2 linked regions of the Yarrowia lipolytica genome follow. Each later gene encodes a partner of the first gene's protein in a complex. Links are inferred from orthologs where the notes say so. Each region holds a gene or a part of one and is shown on either strand. Other genes may lie near its edges.

The links.
Region 2: the proteins of YALI1_A01061g (region 1) and YALI1_F28025g are in contact, whole or in part, in a crystal structure (PDB 3WBK), measured with the Saccharomyces cerevisiae proteins. The link is inferred for Yarrowia lipolytica from reciprocal best matches to the Saccharomyces cerevisiae genes FUN12 and TIF11. Residues at the interface, in NP_009365.1 of Saccharomyces cerevisiae: Arg969, Asp973, Lys976, Phe980, Trp989, Leu990, Lys993, Lys996, Glu1002; in NP_013987.1 of Saccharomyces cerevisiae: Asp145, Leu148, Ile150, Ile153.

Annotation. Positions count from the first base shown.
Region 1 is NC_090770.1:102,377-108,391, reverse strand, and holds YALI1_A01061g (uncharacterized protein), read left to right. Parts: upstream 1-2,239; coding exon 2,240-5,380; downstream 5,381-6,015. Other genes in the region: YALI1_A01074g (uncharacterized protein), read right to left, coding at 380-638, 667-847, 895-961. UniProt on the Saccharomyces cerevisiae protein: Plays a role in translation initiation. Translational GTPase that catalyzes the joining of the 40S and 60S subunits to form the 80S initiation complex with the initiator methionine-tRNA in the P-site base paired to the start codon.
Region 2 is NC_090775.1:2,801,471-2,804,523, reverse strand, and holds YALI1_F28025g (uncharacterized protein), read left to right. Parts: upstream 1-1,797; coding exon 1,798-1,818; intron 1,819-1,926; coding exon 1,927-2,355; downstream 2,356-3,053. Other genes in the region: YALI1_F28064g (uncharacterized protein), read left to right, coding at 1-301; YALI1_F28031g (uncharacterized protein), read right to left, coding at 571-1,395; YALI1_F28015g (uncharacterized protein), read left to right, coding at 2,964-3,053.

The sequences.
Region 1 (6,015 bases):
TCACCAAAAGTGGCCTTCAGCGGACGATCCCTTCGCCTGTGTCGTGATCAAAACGGTGATTTTCCTGATAACTGTGGCCGAGAAAACCGCAGAGAAGAAAAACGCCATCTTCCATAAGAAGGTCGATAATAGCATTCTTCGAATACTCCATTGCGCGAAAGTTTTTCTTGTAAGCGGCGTTACCATTGTTCAGTTGAACCAGGCCTGGTCACAGCTCGCAACTGAATCCGGTTTAGCTGACTCCTGTCGCCAATCAGAATATATATCATAGATTGTAGCTCGAGTAGTCTCAAAGTCGCAGGTTGGTCAGCATTTGATCTCGTCTTTTCATGGTGGGTTCGAGTTTGAAGTTGGCCAACATGCGCCTGTTGAGATCACTCTAGAACTCAGGTCCTTCTCTCGCAAAGGTGGACTCCTCCTCGACTTTAACCATAGCATTGACCCACTCCATGAACCTGGAGTTGTCGGCGTCTCCAGGCAGATAGACAATGTCTGTATGACAGACCAGCTTCCTATAAATGTCGTAGGCAGTCGTGGATTCCTTCAGGTGTCGGATGTCCTCCAAAATAGTCGACCAGTCGAGATGCGTAGGCATAGTAGAAGAGTCGGCAAAGTCCATCAGTCCCCATCGGTATTTGCTCGTAAGTCGTCGACTTCATGAGGCACGAAAAAATGAGGTTCTTGATAACGGGATCCTGCATGATATAGTTCACGATAACATGGGGAGGGTTGGTGTAGTCTAGATCCGCATCCTTATCACCGTTGTTGTCGAAGATGTGGTCCTTGAGGTCGCCAATGGCGTCAAAGTTGTCCCAGTACTTGGCCACGTTCAGATTCTTAATGTATCCTGCCCATAGTAGTTGATAACTCCCTGGATCTTGTCTTCGCTGGCACCGGGAAACTTCTCCACGAGAACAAGGACCGGAATATGGGTGTATGCAAGTTCAAGGGCATGATTCATGGCCTCGTACTCCTGCGCGGTAGAGTATGACTTGCCCGAGATCCAATAATGACGTAATTGAAACCGGCTGAGACCGAGGAGGGTACTCAGATCTCAAGTAAAGTCGTCGGGCAAGGTGAGAGTTGGTGAAGTTCTAGTAGCCCCATCGGTGCTTCATTTCTTCATTCAGACGACGATTGGGGTTTCATGGGACATGGAGCAGAGCAGTCCAGACTCTCGGATAGTGCGGGGGGTTCTGGACACTGTAGTTCCGGACATTGATAGTGCGGTCAACAACTGGAGTCTCTAGGCGACCATCCGTGACAATATCACTTCACCAGAGAAGCTGTGAATGGTAGCGAGAGTGAATGGTAGCGAGAGTGAATGGTAGCGAGACTGTTTCATTTGTGGAGACTGGCAACCAACTCGCTGGTTTCCTCACAATGCCACTTGTTTGGACTACTCTCAATACTACTCTCTTAAAGATTAAGATGAAGGTGAAGACTAACTGCAAGAAGTACTGCAACAGTATGTACATTATTTTAGTCCGATGCCCCATCTTTTTTTTTTTTATATTTTTATTTAATTATATATATATTAATATTTTATCTTATTTTTATTTTTTTTTTTTTATATTTTATTTTTATTTTTATTTTTATTTTTATTTTTTTTTTTTTTTTTTTTTATTTTTTTATTTTTATTTTTATTTTTTTTATTTTTATTTTTATTTTTATTTTTTTTATTTTATTTTTTTTTTATTTTATTTTTATTTTTATTTTTATTTTTTTTTTTATTTCTAATTCTAGGGGGAAATACAAACACAGGCTACAGAGGCCTAAAAAAAAATATGAACCCCCATATCGGACTCGGATCCAGGTATTCAGAAGAGCGCAAGACAATGCTCGCACCCATCCAGACCAACTATATGGTATCTACCACAGAATCGAACCCACAACCGCGTTCGATCTGTGAAAAATTTTGAAGGAAACTTTAGTTTGGCGCAATGATGATGCTGCAAGGAAATCGTAGATATGGCCTAGATTGATATGTTTGAGAAGTGGATTGCGGTAGTTCGACAAAGCCGAGCCAGAGTTATGTGAAACCTAAGAAACAAACAAAAAAATCTCATATCGGGGATTTGCCACATTTCCACCGGTCCTTTTCCCTTTTTTTTCCCGCTCTTTGAGGGCAATCAGTGTCTTCTTGTAACAAGGTTTGGATCACGTGATTTCTCACTTTTTCACCCATGTAGTTACACATCTCAACCTGAATACCTGACCATTTTCACGACACGACAAGATGGCGAAGAAAGGAAAGAAGCAACAAAGCTACGGCGACTGGAGCGACAGTGAGGAGGAGAGCATGGACACGACTCCCCAGAACCTCGACGGGACCCCTGCTGTGGAGGACAAGGCTGCTGGGGCTGCTGATGTGCCCAAGGGCGATGAGAGCGCCTCTGCGACCCCCGAGCCCACCCCTGCCGCTCCCGAGGAGGCCACTATGGACGATCTTGCCGACGAATTCGAGGGCGGAGGACTGATGGGAGCGCTGCGAAAGTCCAAGAAGAAGAAGGACGCGCGAGACGCCAAGGACGCAAAGGCCGAGCCCGAGGAGGCTCCTGTGATTCTGACCAAGAAGCAGAAGGACAAGCTCAAGAAGGAGCAGGAGAAGGCCAAGAAGAAGGCTGCTGCCGACGCACGAAAGGCCGCTGCCGACGCAAAGGCTGCTGATAAGAAGGCCAAGGGAGAGGACAAGAAGGAGGACAAGAAGGAGGACAAGAAGGTCGAGTCCAAGTCTCCTGAGCCCGAGGCCGCCCCCGCCGCCCCCGCCAAGAAGCTGACTGGCCGAGCTGCTGCTATTGCCAAGATCAAGGCCCAGCAGGATGCCATCAAGGCCCAGGAAGCCGCTATGGCTGCTGCCGAGGAGGAGGAGCGAGCTGCCGAGGAGGCTGCCCAGCGAGCTGTTGAGGAGGCCGAGAAGGAGAAGGAGGCTGCACGGCTCGCCAAGAAGGAGCGAGAACGACAGAAGGTCGAGCGACAGAAGGCTGAGGGTACTTATATGACCAAGAAGCAGAAGCAGGAGCGAGCTGCCGCCGAGGCTCGACGAGAGCAGATGCTGGCTGCCGGAATGATTGTTGGCGGTGGACGAGCACCCGCCAAGCAGACCAACAACAGACTGCCCACCAGAACTCCTGCCCAGAAGCAGCCCAAGGTTGAGGACAAGGTTGTTGAGAAGCCCAAGGAGGTCAAGAAGGAGGCCGAGTCTCCCGAGGAGGACGATGTTGACGCCCTTATGGACGACTGGGAGACTGCCCTGGACTCTGACGGAGAAGTCAAGGACGACTGGGAGGCCATGGCCGACGAGAATGGCGAGATTGAAATCACCAAGAAGGAAGACCCCTCCATCAAGGCCAAGGAGGAGGCTGAGGCTGCTGCCAAGGAAGCTGAGGCCCAGGCTGCCGCTCTGGCCCGTCAGAAGGCTGCTGATGAGGGCACCCAGCTCAACGACGAGACCGAGCTGGAGCGACAGCGAGTTGCTGCCGAGGAGGCTCTTGAAGAGGCCCGACGAAAGTCTGCTGCCATTGCCGAGAAGCGTGCCGCCAAGCACTCGCGAGCCATTGCATCTGCCAATGCCGGAAACCTGCGATCTCCCATTTGTTGTATTCTGGGCCACGTCGATACCGGTAAGACCAAGCTTCTGGACAAGGTGCGACAAACCAACGTGCAGGAGGGCGAGGCTGGAGGTATTACTCAGCAGATTGGTGCCACCTACTTCCCTATCGAGGCCATCAAAAAGAAGACGGAGGTCATGGAGCAGTACGGCGAGATTGACTACCACGTGCCTGGTCTGCTGGTGATCGATACCCCCGGTCACGAGTCTTTCACCAACCTGCGATCCCGAGGTTCGTCGCTGTGTAACATTGCCATCCTGGTGATTGATATCATGCACGGCCTCGAGCCCCAGACCATTGAGTCCATCAAGCTGCTGCGAGACAAGAAGACGCCCTTCGTGGTCGCTCTCAACAAGATTGATCGACTCTTCGACTGGGAGGCCATCCCCAACAACTCGTTCCGAGATTCGCTCTCCAAGCAGAAGAAGTCTGTGCTGCGGGAGTTTGAGGACCGACTCGAGAAGACCAAGACCGCTCTTATGGAGCAGGGTCTCAACTCTGAGGTCTACTACAAGAACAAGAACCTGGCCAAGAATGTGTCTCTGGTCCCCACCTCCGCCATCACCGGCGAGGGTATTCCCGATCTGCTCGCTCTTCTGCTGCAGCTGACTCAGAGCCGAATGTCCAAGCAGCTCATGTACCTGTCTGAGCTCGAGGCCACCGTTCTGGAAGTCAAGGTTGTCGAAGGTTTCGGAACCACCATCGATGTTGTTCTGTCCAACGGTGTCTTGCGCGAGGGTGACCGAGTCGTGCTTTGCGGTCAAAACGGCCCCATTGCCACCAACGTCAGAGCTCTACTCACTCCCCAGCCGCTCAGAGAGCTGCGAATCAAGTCTGCTTACCAGCACCACAAGGAGGTCAAGGCTGCTCTCGGTGTCAAGATTGCCGCCAACGACCTGGACAAGGCCGTGGCTGGTTCTCGTCTGCTGCTTGTGGGTCCTGATGATGATGAGGAGGAACTCATGGACGATGTCATGGACGATCTTACCGGCCTCCTTGACTCCGTTGACAAGTCTGGACGTGGTGTGTGTGTCCAGGCTTCCACTCTTGGTTCCCTGGAGGCTCTTCTCGACTTCCTCAAGGATATGAAGATCCCCGTCATGTCCATTGCTCTAGGTCCCGTCTACAAAAAGGATGTGATGCGAGCCACCACCATGCTGGAGAAGGACAAGTCGCTGGCCATCATGCTGTGTTTCGACGTCAAGATCGACAAGGACGCCGAGCGATATGCTGACGAGCAGGGTGTCAAGCTTTTCTCGGCTGATATTATCTACCATCTGTTTGACGACTTTGTCAAGCACCAGAAGAAGCTGCAGGAGCAGAAGCGACTGGACACCATCGACAAGGCCGTTTTCCCTTGTGTTCTGCACACTGTCCAGATCATCAACAAGCGATCGCCCATGATCATTGGTGTCGACGTTGTTGAGGGCTCTCTGCGAATTGGAACCCCCATCTGTGCCGTTAAGACCAACCCCGAGACCGGTGCACGAGAGGTGCTCGAGCTCGGTAAGGTGACTTCCATGGAGGTGAACCACAAGTCCGAATCTGTTGTTCGAAAGGGCCAGACCAACGCTGGTGTGGCTATGCGAATCGATACTTCTTCCGGACAGCCTACTTGGGGCCGACACATTGACGAGAAGGATGTTCTGTACTCGTCCATCACCCGAAAGTCCATTGATACTCTCAAGGACCCCGTTTTCCGAAACGACGTGCCCCGAGAGGACTGGCTGTTGCTCAGAAACCTCAAGACTACTTTTGGAATCAAATAAGGGATCTCGGAGATTAGGAGATCAGGAGCGGACAACATCAAGCCACTGTTATAAATGGCCTGGTACGTTGTTATTGCTCTGACTATTGTGTAAGATGTACGTAAATGAAAATTGATATTGCTGATTGAAGTGAGTTGATACTGTAGGCCGCTTCAAGAGGTTTGGACGGTTGTACGTAATATACACTGATTCCCGTAAGAGCCGATCTGGTCGCAGTAGACATATGGCTGCGTGATAGTGTAACTTGATGTCTTTAGATAAATTCTCTGGCATTTGGACTCTGTATATCATTTGACACTTTTTCAACTGCATTTTTTTTCCGCATTTTTTTCCGCATTTTTTTCCGCATTTTTTTTTTTTCTTACGATACATATATTCCCAACTAAACCCAACTAAAGCCTACTACTGTATGTTCACTGAAGTAGCAAGGTAGCAAGTACAGACACTGTAGTCAGAACTATGTGAGATACAGCCTGGAGCGATTAACTGCCGTACAATCATCACTTGCCCAACCGCCTTCTATAAATGTACTTTTCCTAGGTCTTTAAAGTGGTAGAGGAGAAACCCAGCTTCACGTGTAGTTATAGCTGTACCGCAGACAAAGTCACGATGGAACATGTCGTAACGTGGGTACT
Region 2 (3,053 bases), on another chromosome or scaffold:
GATGGAGATCCGTCTCCTGTTTCGAGAGGTCGCCAAGGCCAAGGCCCAGCGACCTGCTGGTGCTTCTCGAGCTCGGTCTTGTGAACGAGTTCCTCAGGTACATACCACCAAGCAAGTTCACTTTGGCCGAACTCTTCCCCGGTCCAGGAAGCCCTCCGAGACAGAGATCTACGACGAGGAGATGTCTTATCTTCTTGGAGGTTACGGATACTTTGACATGGCGGACTTTGAGAACGCGGCTGATACCGAGCGGCTGGGACGCAAGGAGATTGGTAGAAAGCTCAGACTGGCTGAGTATTAAGGGGCTCTCTCTATTTGTAGGACATTTTGCATTTATAGGTTAAAATTTTGGCTTGAGTAATAATCGAACTGTACACAGCAGGGCTACTTGTATATTTGTTGGGTTGCAGAAGTACACAATAGAACAGCACAAGGAATTGTCCATACTGTCCTTGTACTACAGCTCCTAATGTACAATACAAAGAAAAAATATGCTTCATGGTGATTGGTTACAGCTCACTACTGGGTGTGTAGCTGATGCAAATAAATAATTACTGTATAGTGTACATACTATGCCATAGTTTCCCGCCCGGGCGTTGGCTCTTCTAGCCGTCTTCGCTTTCCCTGAGCCAAATATCTCACAGCAGCAGACAAGTCCAGTCCAAATTTCGCCAGCTGGCACATTTCGTTTTCCTCCTGGGTTTCGTACTTGTCCAGAGCCGTGAAACCGCCATCCAGGGCATCCCATTGTAATTCAAACTCGTCTTCGTTCCGTCCAATCACCCATGCATTCTCTCGTTCCATTTTTGAACGTTCCCGGTCCTCCTCCATTCGCTTGAGTTTCTGCGCATTTGTCATGGGCAGTTTGAGGTCGGTTTCATCCTGTACTGGTGGTTGTCGCTTTTGTAGAATGTCAATAGCTCGGTCGATCTGCTCCAAGCCCTGAGGACCCTTACCAGCTGCGGTTCCCAGTTTGCGTTTCTTCATCTTGTTGAGAAACAGCAACGCGCTCTGCTTGTTGATTCGGCCAATCTCGTCGTCTGAGCACACGAGCTCTGTGGTGATCTTGACCAGATCATTGACCAGACTGGCGTTGTAGAACGTCATGTCCTTGGAGTCTCCGACTGGCGTGCCTTCAGCAATCTTGCGTTTCCGTTTACTCTCGTACTCTTCAATCTTCATACACAAAAAGCCCAGCGCCCACATGATGTTGTTACGCATGTTGACGTTGTCTTTGGCTGTGCTCTCGAGAATCTCCATGATACAGGCGTAGAGGTCTTCCTTGAGGTCGTCGTGTTTCATCATGAAACTAGCGAGGGTAGATTCGGACGAATGTGAGGCGTTGAGCCGTCCCACGAGCTCCACCATCGTCATTCGAGCTTCAAAAGGATCCATAGTGCTGTGTGGGGGTGATGATTAATGATGTTGGCACACAATATAATTTATGTAATTTACTGTAGTTGACTTGCATCAACTAATGCTGGGTGTGAAAGCCTAAACTCCCAACTGTGTGCCTTGGATGCTCCATCTCGTGTGACATCTGAACATCAAACCAAAACAGCAGCTTAGTGGGGCTTGTCTTGTTGACATGGTATTAATTTGGAAGCAACACGGGGACCTCCATAAAAACAATTTCCATTTTTTTAATACAGAGTTCACACATAGCTGCTTCCAAAGTCGTATCTTCGGTGCTCTTCTCTGCCGGCCGGGTAACTCACATGACTTCCCGATTGGGACATGCCTCTCCCTTAGTTTTTCAACCCTATCAAAATTTGTTCCTAGATAGTATACTACAAAATGCCTAAGAACAAGGGAAAGGTGAGTAGCTGACGGTGGTTTGCGGCACGAGAATCGAGGCTAGGCGGTATTTTGCACATGTGGAAATGCCAACGGAATAATCTGAAATGCCCACCTTACTAACTCTAGGGCGGAAAGAACCGACGAAGAGGAAAGAACGAGTCTGAGGGTAGCAAGCGAGAGCTTGTCTACAAGGAGGAAGGCCAGGAGTACGCCCAGGTTGTCAAGATGCTCGGAAACGGTCGTCTTGAGGCCCAGTGCTTCGACGGTGTCAAGCGATTGGCTCACATTCGAGGAAAGCTCCGAAAGAAGGTGTGGATCAACCAGGCCGATATCATTCTGCTTTCTCTGCGAGACTTCGAGGACGACAAGGCTGATGTCATCATGAAGTACCACCCCGATGAGGCTCGAGCTCTCAAGGCTCAGGGTGAGCTTCCTGAGTCTGCCAAGATCAACGATGCTGACCAGGGTGGAGAGGACGACGAGTGCAACTTCGAGTTCGACAACGACGATGATGATGATGATGAGGAGGATGAGCTTGATATCGATGATATCTAAGCTACCTAGAAGACCGTCCAAAAGTCCAAAAGAAACTGCCCACGACAGGTGGCTGTACACTAGTACATGTTGTTTTGTCGTTTAGGCGAGGTATAGATTAACAGATCATTTTATTGTGAATATGAGTGGGAAGGTAGCCTACTGAGGCGCGTAAAAGTACGGCAGGCTATATTAGGTACACCGCTTTTACTCTTACAAGTGATGTATATCTGTCAACAAAATGAAGCCATCTTGCGAATAACCGTCAACTGTTGGTGGGTAGTCGCGTGAGAACAAGTGATATCGTCACGTGAGTCGTAACTAAACGCCACCCAAATTTGATGTTATGGACAACGAGATATAGCAGTTCACTCGATAATGTCACTCTACCTTGATATCAAAGGGTGAGATTCGACATGTAATGATGTACAAGTATGACACATTATATAAGCTACTGTAACCCACCTCCAAATATTGTCCAACATCGGATGTACTGTACTGTATGTACCATGTGCGTGTCACTCTCAGGTGCTGCATGGAACCTTCAATATTAACCGACTGCACACTGCACACAACAAACATCTCTCAAAGTGGTGAGCTTAATAGCCACACCATAAAAACAAGATACCATGACGCACCAATACCCTCCATTCTACGGAGTGTATTTGCTGCAGTCTACAAAGAAACCTCTCTCCTGCTACGTGGGCTCTACTCCGAAT